Linked DNA regions of Diceros bicornis minor. The main gene of each other region encodes a partner of the protein of the gene in region 2 in a complex. Links are inferred from orthologs where the notes say so. Each region holds a gene or a part of one and is shown on either strand. Other genes may lie near its edges. The genes, in order: SF3A2, SF3B5 and PPIL2.

Region 1 (4,801 bases), on a different chromosome or scaffold from region 2:
CCGGCGGACTTTGTTTCTGGGGCGCGGCCGGGCGGAGCTGGGTCTCGGCGGGCCTCGTCCCCGCCCCCCCGCACTCAGTGATGGACACTCACTGATGGAGAAGCCGCTGGGCTCTTCCTGGGCGACTCTGCAGTGCTCCAGCAGCAGGGCTCCGACGGGCTGGGGGCAGACGCGGCGATGGGGGCAGACTGCGGGGAGCCCGACCCGGATCCCTCCCCTCCCCTCCCCAGCTCCCCCCCCCGCCGCCCTACCTCGGCCTCATCCGTCCGGAAGTAGAAAAGGAAATTGACCACCAGCTTCACCAGCCGCCGCTTCACCACTGCGGGCACAGGGCGGGCTCGCGCGGACTCGGCGGGCTCAGCGGCCGGCCTCCCCGCCCCGGCCCGCCCGGCCCGCCCGCCCCGGCGCCCCGGCCCGCTCACCGCTGCCCTTCTTGGGGCCCCGCATGCCCAGCTCGGCCGCCAGCTCGGCCGGCTGCCGGGACAGCGCCTGCAGCTCCTTCTCGTTGAAGCGCATGGCGCCGCTGGGACCCAGGACGCGGAGCCCAGGCTGCGCCCTCTCGGCCGCCGTCCCCGCTCGCGCCAGAAAAGTCCCACGGCGCCGTCCCGGAAGCGCTCCCGGAGCTACTGCGTCTGCGCGCCCCCGGGCCGCTTATCCTGTCAATCATCGGTGCGTGGCCCTGACGTCACCCGGCCCACCGCGGCCGAGCGAAGCCGTCGTGGGCCGCACGGGATAGTGGGTGAGACGCACCGTCGTTATATATAACCATGAAGTAAGCTAGGCCCGCGTGGCAACAGAATAAAGCACCCCCACGACTGCTGGCACCCTTTACTGAAGCGGACAGGAGAAGGCAGATGTTGGGCGAGTCGCAGCCCTTCCTCCCGCGAGAACTGGCCTCGCGGGAATTAGAGGCGACCCAGAGGGCGTCGAGAGCCTGGTGCGCACGCGCACTTCGGGAACCGGCCCGCACTCTCAGCCCCGCCCTTTTCCCCTCGCGCCTCCAGAGCGTCCCGCCCACGTCGCCGGCGGATCGGGCATGCGCACACGGGAGGCCCTGCTCCGTTTGCCCCCGGAAGTGCTTCCTTAGCCCTTGGCGCGCGTGCGCAGGACGAAGTCGTGGCGGCCCCCGCGGCGGCTGAAAAGACAACGGTATCTCGTTGTCGGGTGCGGGTAAGGAGCGGCGCGGGGCGAGGGCGGCGGCCCCGGGGCCCGGGGTTCCCTGGAGGGGAGCGGACGTGGGCGAGGCGGGCCTGCGGCGGGGGGGCGCGGGTTGAGGGCCGAGCGGCCGCGGCGGCCCGTGCCCGGGGATGTGGGGCCTCAGCGTCCCGGGCGCCCCCTGCCCGTCGGAGCTCTCCCTCCAGAGGCCCGTGGGCCCTGGGAGCTCCAGTTCCCGTAACTGTGGGATCGGGGGCGCGGCGGTCCCCGCTCCAGGCCAGCTGAGGAATAAGCGAGGTTTGGGGGCAGAGTGCCCAGCCCCGCGTCGGGGGCGACCGGAGACCGTGAGCCCGCCCCGTTTGGCGAGCGAAGCCCGAGCTTAAATGACTCGGATGCCCGCTTCCTCCTTCTTCCCTTTGGCCGCGCAGAACCCCCGAGAGGAGCCGCCGAAAGTGTTCTGTTGGGCAGGTTTACGGGGATAGTAGCGTGCTCATCAAGAACTGTCATTCATCCCTGTTCCCTGGTCCCTCCCCAGAGGCCACGCCTTTAGAATTCTGGATGCTTGGCCTTAATCTTTGTAAAAAACTTAATTTTTTCTGAGTGTGTCGGTTTTAGACGTGACCTGCTGACTTTCTACCGTGATTGATGAGATTATTTCTGCCTCCCACCCACTCGCTCCAACGTCGCCTTCCATCCCTTGAACGTGTTTATAGAGCCTGAGCTTTAGCGAAATCATTAGTCCTGTATTTTAAAACCGAAAATATTAAGATGTTCATCTGTGTCATTTTCCTTGTTCTGTTTTTCCCCAAAAACTCATTAATTTTTTAATAATTTTTCTTTCAAAACTCCAACACCGCGCACACGTATTTTTGCGCAGTTGTGAAGAGCATGTCTTGGTAGCTTTTAAGAAATCCGTTGACTGATTTGAGTTCTTGGTTATCTGAAAATGGCTTTATGTATTCTCAGAGTTAGAAGTTCGGGTATAAAATTCTAGATTGAAAATCCGTGTGGAGAATTGTGGAAAGCGTTGCCTGCCTTACTGAGAGGTCTGGTCCCATTCGGGCTTCTGAACTTTTATTTCTAGCTTTGTTTCTGTGTCGTAGAAACTTAAGGGTTTTCCTTGCTGTTGTGAAGTTTCCTGATCTGTTTATTGAGGATCTGTTTATTTGTTGACCTGGGTGGGTCTGTTTCCTTGGAAGAATTAGGTCCTTTCAGTCCTGGGTTTTTTCGTTTCTTTGAACACATTCTCATGTTCTCTGTGTGATAACACTCTCCATGCTTCTTTCTGTTCTTCTTCTGGAATTTCATCTAGGTTCTTGTTCTGTCTCCTGTTTTTTCATTATTTGGTTCTCCCTTAGGAAATATTTTTTTAATTCTTATCTCTGAGCCCCGTGTTCCATTTTTTGGGGGGATCATCCGGTCTTTACTGTCCAAGGATTCATTCTGGTTTTGCTTCGCCTTGCTAACCTTTGGCATCCTGTTCTAGGGTCACGGTGCAGTAGATAACTTCCCGGACAGTTCAGGAGAACGTTAACGTTTCCTATTGAGATTTCATCAGGTTTCTGCTTTCTTGGCGACACAGCGATCCTTCGTGTCTGTATTGTCAAGTTGCCCGCTCTGCGGGTAGAGCCCAGTTTCTCACCTAGGGAGTCTCCCTGCTCCGTGGGCCCGGTGGGGAGCTGGTGTTTTCTTTGGGGCGTGGGGGACCCTAGCTGTCAGTGTCTGAGAATGCTTTCTCTGGCACTCTTTCCCCAGAAGAGACTCCTGCTGTCCCCTGGGCTGGGGGCTCCGGGCTGGGCCTCCCGCTGTCTGGACCTGGTGTGGGGGAGCTGCTGTTCCGTGGGCGGGTTTTGATGGAATCCCCTCTTTTCAGCCTGGCGCTCCCCCAGCTCTCTTGTCCCACTGTGTCCACATCTCTAAGCCAGGAGGCCCTTCATTCCAATTCTTCTAAGAATAAAACTGCCCTGCCCAGGGAGTCGAGGGTGCCTGGGTCTGTGACCTTTCTCTCATGGCAGAGACTCTCATTTCAGTTGCGGGGGGGGGGGGGGCGGGGGGGGGTAGCGTGTGTTCAGGGAGCTGTGAGTAACCAGCACTTTCAGTTTCCGATGGTTACTGGTTTTCACTCTCATTTGGTGAGCGGTTACGGATTTGTTTGGGTTTCCTGAGCCCATCAGCTTCTCTCAGCAGGTGCTTTCTGCGACCCCTGGCCCCCATGCGCATTTCCCGGCCAGCCTCCGGGACTGAGGAGCCCAGTCTGGCCGCTTAGGAAGGAGTTGGGCTCATCCTCAAACGGATCGGAGCTGTTGGCTTGGTTAACCTTGTTGCCTTCCAACTCACTTTTCCAGCTCCTCCCAGCCATTGTTCCAGGAGAATGTTCTGAAGGTGTCACTAACGCATGACAGGAACAGGACATCAGCAGACAGGTGGCTCTCTGTCCCGGCCCCCGCAGTGGTGCCGCGGGTCCCTCTGAGCTCCTGCCCTCGTTCCGAGAACACTCGTTGTCGTTGGTTGGTTGGTGTGATGACAGCCGTCCTGACTGTGTAGGGTGGTGTCTCACTGCAGTTTTCACTCGTGTTGCCCTGATGGTTCGTGACGTTGGGCACCTTTCCTGTACCTGCCAGCTGGCTGCTGAGTTAGTCAGAGCACACTCCCAGCCTCAGAGGCCCCCGTCCTCAGTGTTTGGGGAAGCGCCGTCCTCTCCCGGCCCTGGGAATCTGCAGGGGAGGCCTGCAAGTCACTCACCGGAGGGAGCCGGCTCCGGGCCCCCGGATTCACGCTCTGGGTAGAGGCTAGAGGGCAGGTAGTGCCTCTCGGCTCTCACATGCACTCCCCCTGTGCCAGCTTCCCGTCCCGAGGCCAGCAGGGAGGGTGGGGTTTTGCCCCTCGGGGGTGGGCAGTGCTCAGCCCGTGAGCTGCTGGACAGACGGCACGGCCTCCCCTGAGGGGCCTGCACTCGGATCTGGCCACAGAATCACTGAGTTCAGGGCCAACTGGCTGGCAGCCCCTGTAGGTGACGGGTGCGGGCTCCCTGGGCTCATCGATATGGCCAGGCAGGAGGGTTCCTCCGGGCCGTGCTTGCGTTCTGGCGCAGGGCTGTGCTGGTATCGTGTCCTCCTTTTTCCATGTTGAAATGTTGTTTATGAGATGAGGCTGATGGTTGAGAGGGGTTGTCTCTCACGCTTTGCCTGATAAGATTTAATGATTGGCAGCTCTGAATGGACTTGAGTGAAGTCAGAAGTCTCACTCTTTGGTGGGGTGACCCCATGATTCTGCAGCCAGCTAGAAGGTCGCTTCGCTGGTTCCCACACGTGCGATTTTCATAAGCTTGTCAAGGGAATAAGAACTGGGCCAGGGAGGAGTCTAGGCCCCCGTAGAGTTGGGGGCGACTGAGGTCATTGGCACGGCTGGCCTGTACCCCGTGTGTTAGATTCCTGTGGCTGCTGTAGCAAATCACCACAAACTTAGTAGTTTCAAACCACACACATGTATCATTTCACGTTCTGGGGTCAGAAATTCTGAATCCAGCTTCGGGGAGGGCTGTCTTCCCTGAGGCTCCAGGGAGAACCGTCTCCTGCCTTTTCCAGCTTGCAGAGGTGCTGCGTCCTGGGCTCGGGGCCCCTTCCTCCGTCTGCACAGCCAGCAGCAC
Region 2 (3,889 bases):
TAGCATCCTGCACAATAGTAAAAGTTAACTAAAGCTACATATATCAACATGGATACTGACTATGATAAAATGCAACTTACATAACATACATACCGGGTATCATTTATATAAAGCTTTAAAATATGCATAACAATAATACTTACTGTTGATGGATACACAAACTTTCAGCATTCAAAAAAAAAAAGAGGCTCAGGAATGATTAACTGTAAATTCAAGATAGTACCCTGAAGTGAACAGATTAGGGAGGGGAACACAGAGAACTTCAAGTTTATTTGTATAGTCTTATTTCTTAAAAAAACACAGCCAAAACAAAAGAACAAAGATGGAAACAAAAGTGGCAAAATGGCAAGGTTTGATATATCTAGATGGTGAGTCCACGAGTATGCCTTATAATAGTCTCTACATTTTAGGAATGACATGTTTGTTATAACAAAGGTTAAACCAAAGAATAAAACGTTTGTTTTTTTTTCATTTTTGGTACAAGCATTTGATCCTATAAGGAACATTTTGTCGTTTTCTTTAATTTCTTTTAAATAAAAATTGCATATATTTAAGGTGTACAACATGATGATTTGATATAGTGAAAGGATTACTACATGGGCCAGCCCCGTGGCTTAGTGGTTAAGTGCGCACGCTCCGCTACTGCTGGCCCAGGTTCAGATCCTGGGCGCGCACCTACGGACGGCTTCTCCGGCCATGCTGAGACCACGTCCCACATACAGCAACTGGAAGGGTGTGCAACTATGACATACAGCTATCTACTGGGGTTTTGGGGAAAAAATAAATAAAATTATTTAAAAAAAAAGGATTACTACAGTCAAGCTAATTAACATATCCATTGCCTCACATAGTTACCTTCTTGTGTGTGTATGTGGTGAGAGCACCTGAAATCTACGTTCTAAAGAAATTTCCAGTATTCAACATAGCATTAACTATAGTCATCGTGCTATTTGGTCTCTAGACTTAGCCATCCTACATAACTGCAACTTTGTACCACAATAAAAAATATTTTAAAGTTGTCTTTCTCCCAATAACGAGTTTCTTCTATTTGGCTCTAATACAGCTGTTTATCCGTTCATCAAACGTTTTTTAAGAACGTAATCTCTGCCAGGCTATGAGGATACCCTAAACAGATACCATCAAAGAAGCATACGAGAAAAGATGCCACCAAAAAAGTCAACTCCTTTCCTCAAGCAGTCTGCGTTCGCGTGAGGAAGTCCTTAAACCAAAAATTAGGATATAAAGCGGTAATAACGAAGCGTCCAAGATGCAAAGAGGAAGGAGAATTTACACGTGTGGAGTGGCCAAAGCCAATTTCAAGGAGATGCTTTCGAGCTGACTTCAAGGGAAGAGTGTTTGCCAAGGGAACAAAGACATTCCAAGCAGAGGGAACAGCTTGTACCAAGAACGGGAGAGGCGAGCAGCACGGAACACGGAGAAGCGCAGGTGGGGGCGTGTAGGGCGAGGTGGGGAGTCAGAGGGAGGGTGTCAAAATAAGGAAGGGGGACCCCGATGTGAGGGCCAGAACGCGTCGTAACGGGTCACCGGGCGGGAAACGGCGGCCCTGCTAGCGCTGAATTGACTTGCACTCCACACAACTTCTAAACAACACAGCTGGGACCAGAACCCGCGTCTCCTGATTTCACCTGGTCGTGAAGGGGCTACCGTGCTGTCACGTTAGCTCCAAAAGCAGAATTACACCAAGACTTCATCTTCCCAGTCGCTTGTAGCCCTGTCCTACTTGAATGTCCTACTTCCTCGCAGCCCCAAACCGCCCAAAGATGCTCCCCGCCACCAAGACACCACCCTCCATCAGACCGCCCACAGCCTCCTAAACCAAGGCGATGGGTCCCAAAAGCCCGCGCGCACGAACCCTGGGAGACTACAAGTCCCAGCATGCAAAGCTCCCGGTTAGGAAAAGCGCCGCTAAATGGACCATCATGCAACGCTCTACGAAGGGGGCGGGCTCTCTGTAGGGGCGGCCCGACTTGTAGCGTCGCCTAGGCAACTCCAATCCGGGACGGAATACGCTTCCGCTTCCGCCTCTGAGCCCTAGGACCGCGAGTCCCCGCGGCTCCGTCGTTGTGACGCCATTCGCCTGCGACGGCGCAGTCCTAGAGGTCCGGTGGGGTGTTCATTTTCCGGCGTGAAACGCTAGAGCAGCCATTGCCCGCCGCGGTTTCTGCCTGGGATCCAGCGGGAAGGCGGCGAGATGACGGACCGCTACACCATCCACAGCCAGCTGGAGCACCTGCAGTCCAAGTACATCGGCACGGGCCACGCCGACACCACCAAGTGGGAGTGGCTGGTGAACCAGCACCGCGACTCCTACTGCTCTTACATGGGCCACTTCGACCTTCTCAACTACTTCGCCATTGCGGAGAACGAGAGCAAAGCGCGAGTCCGCTTCAACCTGATGGAGAAGATGCTGCAGCCCTGCGGGCCGCCGGCCGACAAGCCCGAGGAGAACTGAGACCCCGCCGGGTCCCCGCCGGGCGGAGCGTGGCTCCCCGCGTCCCTCCCGTGTGCCGTGGCTCCCCGCGTTCCCGCCCCGGGGCGACCGGTTCTCCGTGGCTGCTGCTCCCCGTGCTTTCCCGGTGCAGAGGCGCTCACCCGCGGCGTCTCGCCCGACCTGCCTTCCTCTGGACGCCTCGGAACAGGGCGTTGGGCGACCGTCAGGACCCCTGGGGACCGCGACCCTGGAGAGATCCCAACGCCAGCCAGCGTTAAGGGGACACGGCACTGCAGCGAGACGGCGTTCGGAGGCTCGTTTTTGGCCGGTTGATTGTCGTTGTTGCCTTTTCCATAAAGTTTAGAAGTTTTTCGGTCTCTTGGTGTGGACTACTTGTGATCGGGTGGAGGGGTCCAGGGAGGGTTTTGGGGACTGTGGTTTCGTGAGAGGGTGGGGTGGGGGTGGGGGTGGGCGCGGGGCCAGGGTACATTGCCAGGCGCTTAAATCCGCCCTGGACAACTTTTATCATATGCCCCCCACCCGCCGACTTCTCCCAAGAGCCTTTTTCAGTCCGGTAGTGCTTTCAGTATTGAGGTTTGTGATCATTGCATCACACCTTTTTGTTCTCTTGTTCAAAAAATCTTTACGGTCATTGCCCTCTACTCTCTCTGTAAATTGCATCCTCTCTACTCTTGGGACTCTCTGGGCGTGTGTTGAGAAATAACAAGCTGTCAAACGAGTTTTCTCATTCATTCAACATTCAACAAATACTTGTCGAGCTCTATGTGGCAGGCATTTTTCCACACTTTGGGGGTTTACATTATACTGGCGGTGGGGGGAGGGGAGGGGGGGCACACAAACTGTAGATGTAAATAAGCAAATGTTAGAAGGTGCTGTGGAGGATGGGAGTAGCGGCAGAGTTGCAATTTTAGATAAGATGCTCATGTTAGACCGTTGAGATGGTGACATTTGAGCAAAGGCCTTAAGGAAGTGAGGGAAGTAGCCATGCAGAAAAGTGGGGAAATTGCTTTCCAGGCAGAAGGAACTGCCAGGGCGATGGTCCTAAAGCTGGGCTTGTGTCTGGCTTATTGGAGGAACAGCAAAGAGGCAAATATGTGGAGAGGTTGAGCAAGGAGAAGAGCAGAGGGACAGGTGATGGAGGGGGAGTGGATGAGAGTAGAGCCTGGTAGGCCAATGTCAGGACTTGTGGCTCTTACCCTGAGAGAGATGGGGAGCCATTGGAAGATTTTTTTTTGCTGAGGAAGATTCGCCCTGAGCTAACATCTATTACCAATCCTCTGCTTTTTGCTGAGGAAGATTGGCCCTGGGCTAACATCCGTGCCCATCTTCCTCTACTTCATGTGTGGACACCTGCCACAGCATGGCTTGGTAAGTGGTGTGCAGGTCTGCACCCAGGGTCTGAACCCACGAACCCCA
Region 3 (4,801 bases), on a different chromosome or scaffold from region 2:
TAATCAAGAGTCTGCTTGACCCCTCAGAGGATGCTTGTCCTGCTTATAAAAAGGTACATACTAAATACGTTAAAGTCAAGTCTCATTTTGTAAGTCCCACAGGGTCAGGAAGCGGAATGGAGATTTGAACCCAGGTGTATCTAAGTCTACCTGCACCCCTAGACAAACACAAAGGCCAGGCCTTCTTTCTCCTTGGTTGTCCCCACCGTGCTCTCTGACCTCAAAGCAGGAAAAAGTGAGTGCCACCTCCTCTGTTGGGGAGAGCTGAGGCTAGCCGGCTGGTGGTTTGGCGGAGGGAAGTGAAAAATCTCCTTAGACTTCTCAGGAACACTCCATGTATCTCAGGGCTGATGGGGGGGTGGAGGGGACAGGAGCGAGCAGTCCAGGGTGCACCTCCTTCATTAGTGGCAGAGTGGGTGGTGGTGTCAGTGCTGACCAAGTAGGAGAGGGTGAAGAGAAGCAGGTTTTGGGGTTGGAGGGAAGGTTTTGGGGTGTGCCAATCTGGATGTGTTCAGCATGAACGCCCCAGAAACGTCCCTTTAGGACACTCAGATGTGGGTCTGGAGCTCAAGTGAGGTCTGAGCCTGAGACTCAGGTTAGGGTTAGTTAAGTCAGCTCTGGGTTGGGACCAAGAAGTAGGGAAGATTGATCAAGATGGTAGGGTGAAGACAGGACCTTTTGAAACGCATAAGGAGCCGCTGGAGACGCCAGTGAAGAGGCCACAGCGAGTATGGAGCAAAGAAGTGGTTATGAAGGGGAGGAGAGAGGGTAGAAGCTGGAGGGGGCCGGGGGGTTGATGCTGGGAAGTGAGTCAGGAGAGGAAGAGGGTAGAGTCCAGGGATAGAGGAGTTAGGGGCAGAGTGAAGTGCTTGGGGTGCTGTCTACACACGGTGAAGAGGGGAAGCAGCCAGAAGCGGAAGGGACTGGAGGCTGGCCGAGGGGTGAGGGCCTTAAAGAAGTTGGAAGAGTTGGGGTGCGGACCGTGTTCTTGGCGTGGCCGTTGGCCGGCCCTGATCAAAGCTCTGCCGGATCCTAGCGCGATAGGGCCTCCGCCGAGCGCAGCTGCGTTCGCCCCGTCGAAGGCGCGACAGCGCATGCCCAGAGAGGGGGCATTGTCACGTGCGGCCGTCTGGCAGGGAAGGGCCCCGCCCGCGATCTAGGGGGGATTGGCTGGAGCGGTTGATCGCAGAGGGGGCCGGCGGCGGTTGGATGGAGAGCTGGTACGTCTCCGCGGTCCCCGCCCGGACGGGCCCTCTCAGATGGAGGTCCTGGACGAGTTCGACAGCGAGATGCCCCCGAGCGTGACCTTCTGCCAGCGCATCTCCGAGGAGGACTTCGAGAGACAGGCGACGACCTACACCAAGCGCGCGCTGCGCCGCCTCTTCCGCAGCATCGACCGCAACCCGAAGCTGGCCGAGCGAGTGGTGCGCAAGGGCAAGCAGGCCGAGTGCGAGCGGCGCGGGCTCCTCTCCTTCCTCTGGGTGCGGGCCGGCGGGCGGGCTGCGGGGAGGGGGGACCAGGGGGCGGGTGCTGTCATCACTCCCGCTCCTGCCCTGTAGGGCGGAGATTGGGGGTGGGGGGGGCCGTCGGGCCTTCCTGGAGCTGCAGGGTAGGGTCTCCCAGAAGCCTGAGGCGGCCCAGCTTGGGGAGTGCAGCGGGCAGGCGTCTCACCCGTCTGGCGTCCTCCCGCTGCTGTCGCAGGGAAGTTCTGTGCTGTCCAGGGGGAGCTGAACTACTGCAACTGCGTGGGCGCCGGGGAGATACATCGGCGCCTGGAGCAGCTGAGGAGGAGCATCTACCGCGCGCACCTCTACTCCCAGGGTGAGGCCCACCCTGTGTCTGGCTCCAGCAACCCAGCAAACCTGACTCAGGGCCCCTTGTCCCTGGTCCTGTGGTTGGCACTTTTTTCTAAATTTGGTGTTTATTTTAAAAGTCTATTATGAAAATGAACATACACAAAACTAGAGACTGCAGTAAACACGCGAGTACCCTTCACCCAGCATCAGCGGCTGTCCCCATCTCACCGTGCTTGTTTCATTCTCTAGATCCCCTTTTTCTTTTTCTGGAGCATTTTAAGGGAAATCTCAGACATCATTGTATTCCTGAATACTTTATTTATTTATAATTTTATTTATGTATTTATTTTTCCCCCAAAGCCCCAGTAGATAGTTGTATGTCATAGCTGCACATCCTTCTAGTTGCTCTATGTGGGACGCCGCCTCAGCGTGGCTGGAGAAGCGGTGCGTTGGTCCGCCCCCGGGATCCCAACCTGGGCCGCCAGCAGCGGAGGGCACGCACTTAATTGCTAAGCCACAGGGCCGGCCCTCCTGAATACTTTAGAATGCTTCTTAATAAAAAAAAGACAGTTTCTGACATAAATCACGATATTACTGCTGATATAATTGACAACAATTCCCTAATATTAGCTGATACTTACTTAGTCCATAGTCAGAACTCCTGGATGGTCCACAAAAATCTTTCTACACTTGGTCTGTCGTGTCAGGACCCAACAAGGCCCACATGCTGTGTTCATGTTAGGCCTCTTAGGTTCTTTCTCACTAGGGTGACCATATAATTTGTGTCCACATCGGGGCACTTGTAAGAGTGAAATGCAAGGGGGCCATGTTAGTGACCACACAGGGATGGCAAACAAGGATCTGTGGCCAGGTCTGTGGAAGTCCCTTTGAAGTGAGATACCCTTACTTTCCCTCTCATGCCACTGACTCAAAGATCTGTGTTGTCCTTCGGGGTATCCCACTTCATGGGTTTAGATCTGCTGTCATAGTCCACTGGTGGTGTTTGCTTTGCTCCCCTCTGCCTGTATTTCTCAGACAGTGGCTCTGAAGCCTTGATCTGATTCAGGTTCAGTGATAGACCACAGCAGTCCTGGGGCTACTTTCTTCTCCATCCCATTGGGAGGCCCAGCTTACTTGGGGGTCCCCCTTTCTGTGATGCTGGGTGTGAGTGCTCCACGTCACCATTTCATCTGACGGCTGGTCCTACAGCACACGTAGCTCTTACCCGAGGTAGCATTAGTGTTATTTATCCTTGTTTTGTAGAAGAGGAAATAGAGGCCCAGGGAGGTTGGCCAACGTGCAAGGTCACATAGTAAGTAGGAGAGTCTGGACTTGAACTCAGGTCTGGGTGCTCCAAGGCGCAGTCTCTTAGGCCAGTGCTCCCTGGTGGTGGTGATTGTCACTCTAGGTGAGCCACTCTGATGGGCTGTATGAGGAGCTTGTTAACACCCACTTTGCTGGTAGTCTCCAACTTTGAACAGTAGAAATAGCCAGACTCGTCAAATCCAGGAGGGAGACCTAACACGGAGGGAAGAGAGGGGGCTCACTCAAGAGTTCTGCCCCTCAAAGATTCCCTCCCTGAGCCCACCTCTGCAAGACCTAGTTCATGTGGGTTTCCTAATAGAGGAAGGGCCCTTTGCACACCCCCAGGATGGCCCTGGGGCTGGGTGTAGTCAGTGCGCTCTCTGTCTAGGGCCTGGATGCTCCATGAGGGTGCTGGCAGACTCAGGAGCTTTCCGTGATGCTTGGGGGGTTGGGTAGCAGACCAACCTGCCTGGGCCAAGCCCAGCCCTCGATGGCTGTGACACTCTGTCACTTCCTATGAAATTCTGGCCTTGAAGTCAGACAGCCCAGGCATGGATCCTGTGTGTGTCTTGTACAGTTAGAGCTTCCGGTCCCGCTTGTAAGATAGAAACAAAAGTACCCTTTCCCCGTGGGATAGTTGTGGGCTCGGTGAGGTGATGCTTGTTGGCGCCCATCGACAGCGGCTCCAAGCATTGTTATGTGGTGCCCTTTGGCGGGGGCCTACCTCTCTTCCTTGTTGGAGGGACTGTGTGAAGACCCCACACCACTGTGTTTGGCCCGCACTCTATCCTATTCTGGCCATGGAGTAGGCACTCATTGGCACCTTTTGTCACAGATGCCAAGAAGAGGAGGAAGCGGAAGTTGAAAAAACCAGAACCCATTCTCTTGAGGCACCGGTCAACCTCCCTGTGTCTGCCACCAACCCTGGTGCCACCTCTGCCACTGCCACCACCTGCCACCACCATGGCCTCCGAGGTGGCTCCATCGCCTTCTGTCTGCACTATGCCCAGGGTTTTTGGTCCTTACAATCCGCTGCCCTGCAGGTTGGTCAGTGGGCACATCCCCCACTCTGTGCGGCCCTGGGAGGGACCGCCTCTGCCCTCTGCTCAGAACCACCCCAGCAGCTCTCCCACACCCACAACAGTGGCTCTCAGAACTTTGTTTTAAGCAGGAGAACGCTCTGCAGGGTTGAGTCTTGAGTGGAACTGCACCAGATAAAGCAGATAGGAGGGGGCTGCTCTGGTTGGAGAATTGGGGTGGGGTTGAAGGCACAGCTCCACCTGCTTGGCCTCAGCCGAGCAAGGTAGCCCCAAGCGTACCGGGCAGAATCCTGGGGCTCCCAACATACAGGTAGAGAACCATGCCCCCCATGTCTCCAGTCCCACACCCTTAGCCCCACACCCACCTCTCCCTGTGGATGTCATTCTCCATGCCACCTCTAAGTGCCTCCCTAATGCCCTTCCGAACCACCTGCCCCTCCTGACTCCTGCTTATTCTACACTCTCACTGCAGGCAGCGCCCCAGCCCCCAGGCTGGGTTAGGACCTCTTCGGTCAGCTCCCAGCTCCCATCCCGTCCCTTGTCCCCCTAACACCAACCTCAGGGTGGACACTGAGGATGAGCCTGACGTATTTGCTGATTGAATGAAAGTCACATAGTTCTCAGAGTTCTTGTGTAAGGTGTTTTTCTTCACGGTGAGGC

The links.
Region 1: SF3B5 (region 2) and SF3A2 share a complex: the UniProt entries of both Homo sapiens proteins name them as parts of the 17S U2 SnRNP complex. The link is inferred for Diceros bicornis minor from reciprocal best matches to the Homo sapiens genes SF3B5 and SF3A2.
Region 3: SF3B5 (region 2) and PPIL2 share a complex: the UniProt entries of both Homo sapiens proteins name them as parts of the minor spliceosome. The link is inferred for Diceros bicornis minor from reciprocal best matches to the Homo sapiens genes SF3B5 and PPIL2.

The regions. Positions count from the first base shown.
Region 1 is NW_026691553.1:1,554,283-1,559,083, forward strand, and holds the start of SF3A2 (splicing factor 3A subunit 2), read left to right. Parts: upstream 1-1,059; 5' UTR 1,060-1,149; intron 1,150-4,801. Other genes in the region: PLEKHJ1 (pleckstrin homology domain-containing family J member 1), read right to left, coding at 93-159, 252-319, 423-516. UniProt on the Homo sapiens protein: Component of the 17S U2 SnRNP complex of the spliceosome, a large ribonucleoprotein complex that removes introns from transcribed pre-mRNAs.
Region 2 is NC_080778.1:23,304,754-23,308,642, reverse strand, and holds SF3B5 (splicing factor 3B subunit 5), read left to right. Parts: upstream 1-2,134; 5' UTR 2,135-2,212; coding exon 2,213-2,473; 3' UTR 2,474-2,829; downstream 2,830-3,889. UniProt on the Homo sapiens protein: Component of the 17S U2 SnRNP complex of the spliceosome, a large ribonucleoprotein complex that removes introns from transcribed pre-mRNAs.
Region 3 is NC_080774.1:30,153,598-30,158,398, forward strand, and holds the start of PPIL2 (RING-type E3 ubiquitin-protein ligase PPIL2), read left to right. Parts: upstream 1-1,669; 5' UTR 1,670-1,821; intron 1,822-3,936; 5' UTR 3,937-4,064; coding exon 4,065-4,148; intron 4,149-4,801. UniProt on the Homo sapiens protein: Has a ubiquitin-protein ligase activity acting as an E3 ubiquitin protein ligase or as an ubiquitin-ubiquitin ligase promoting elongation of ubiquitin chains on substrates.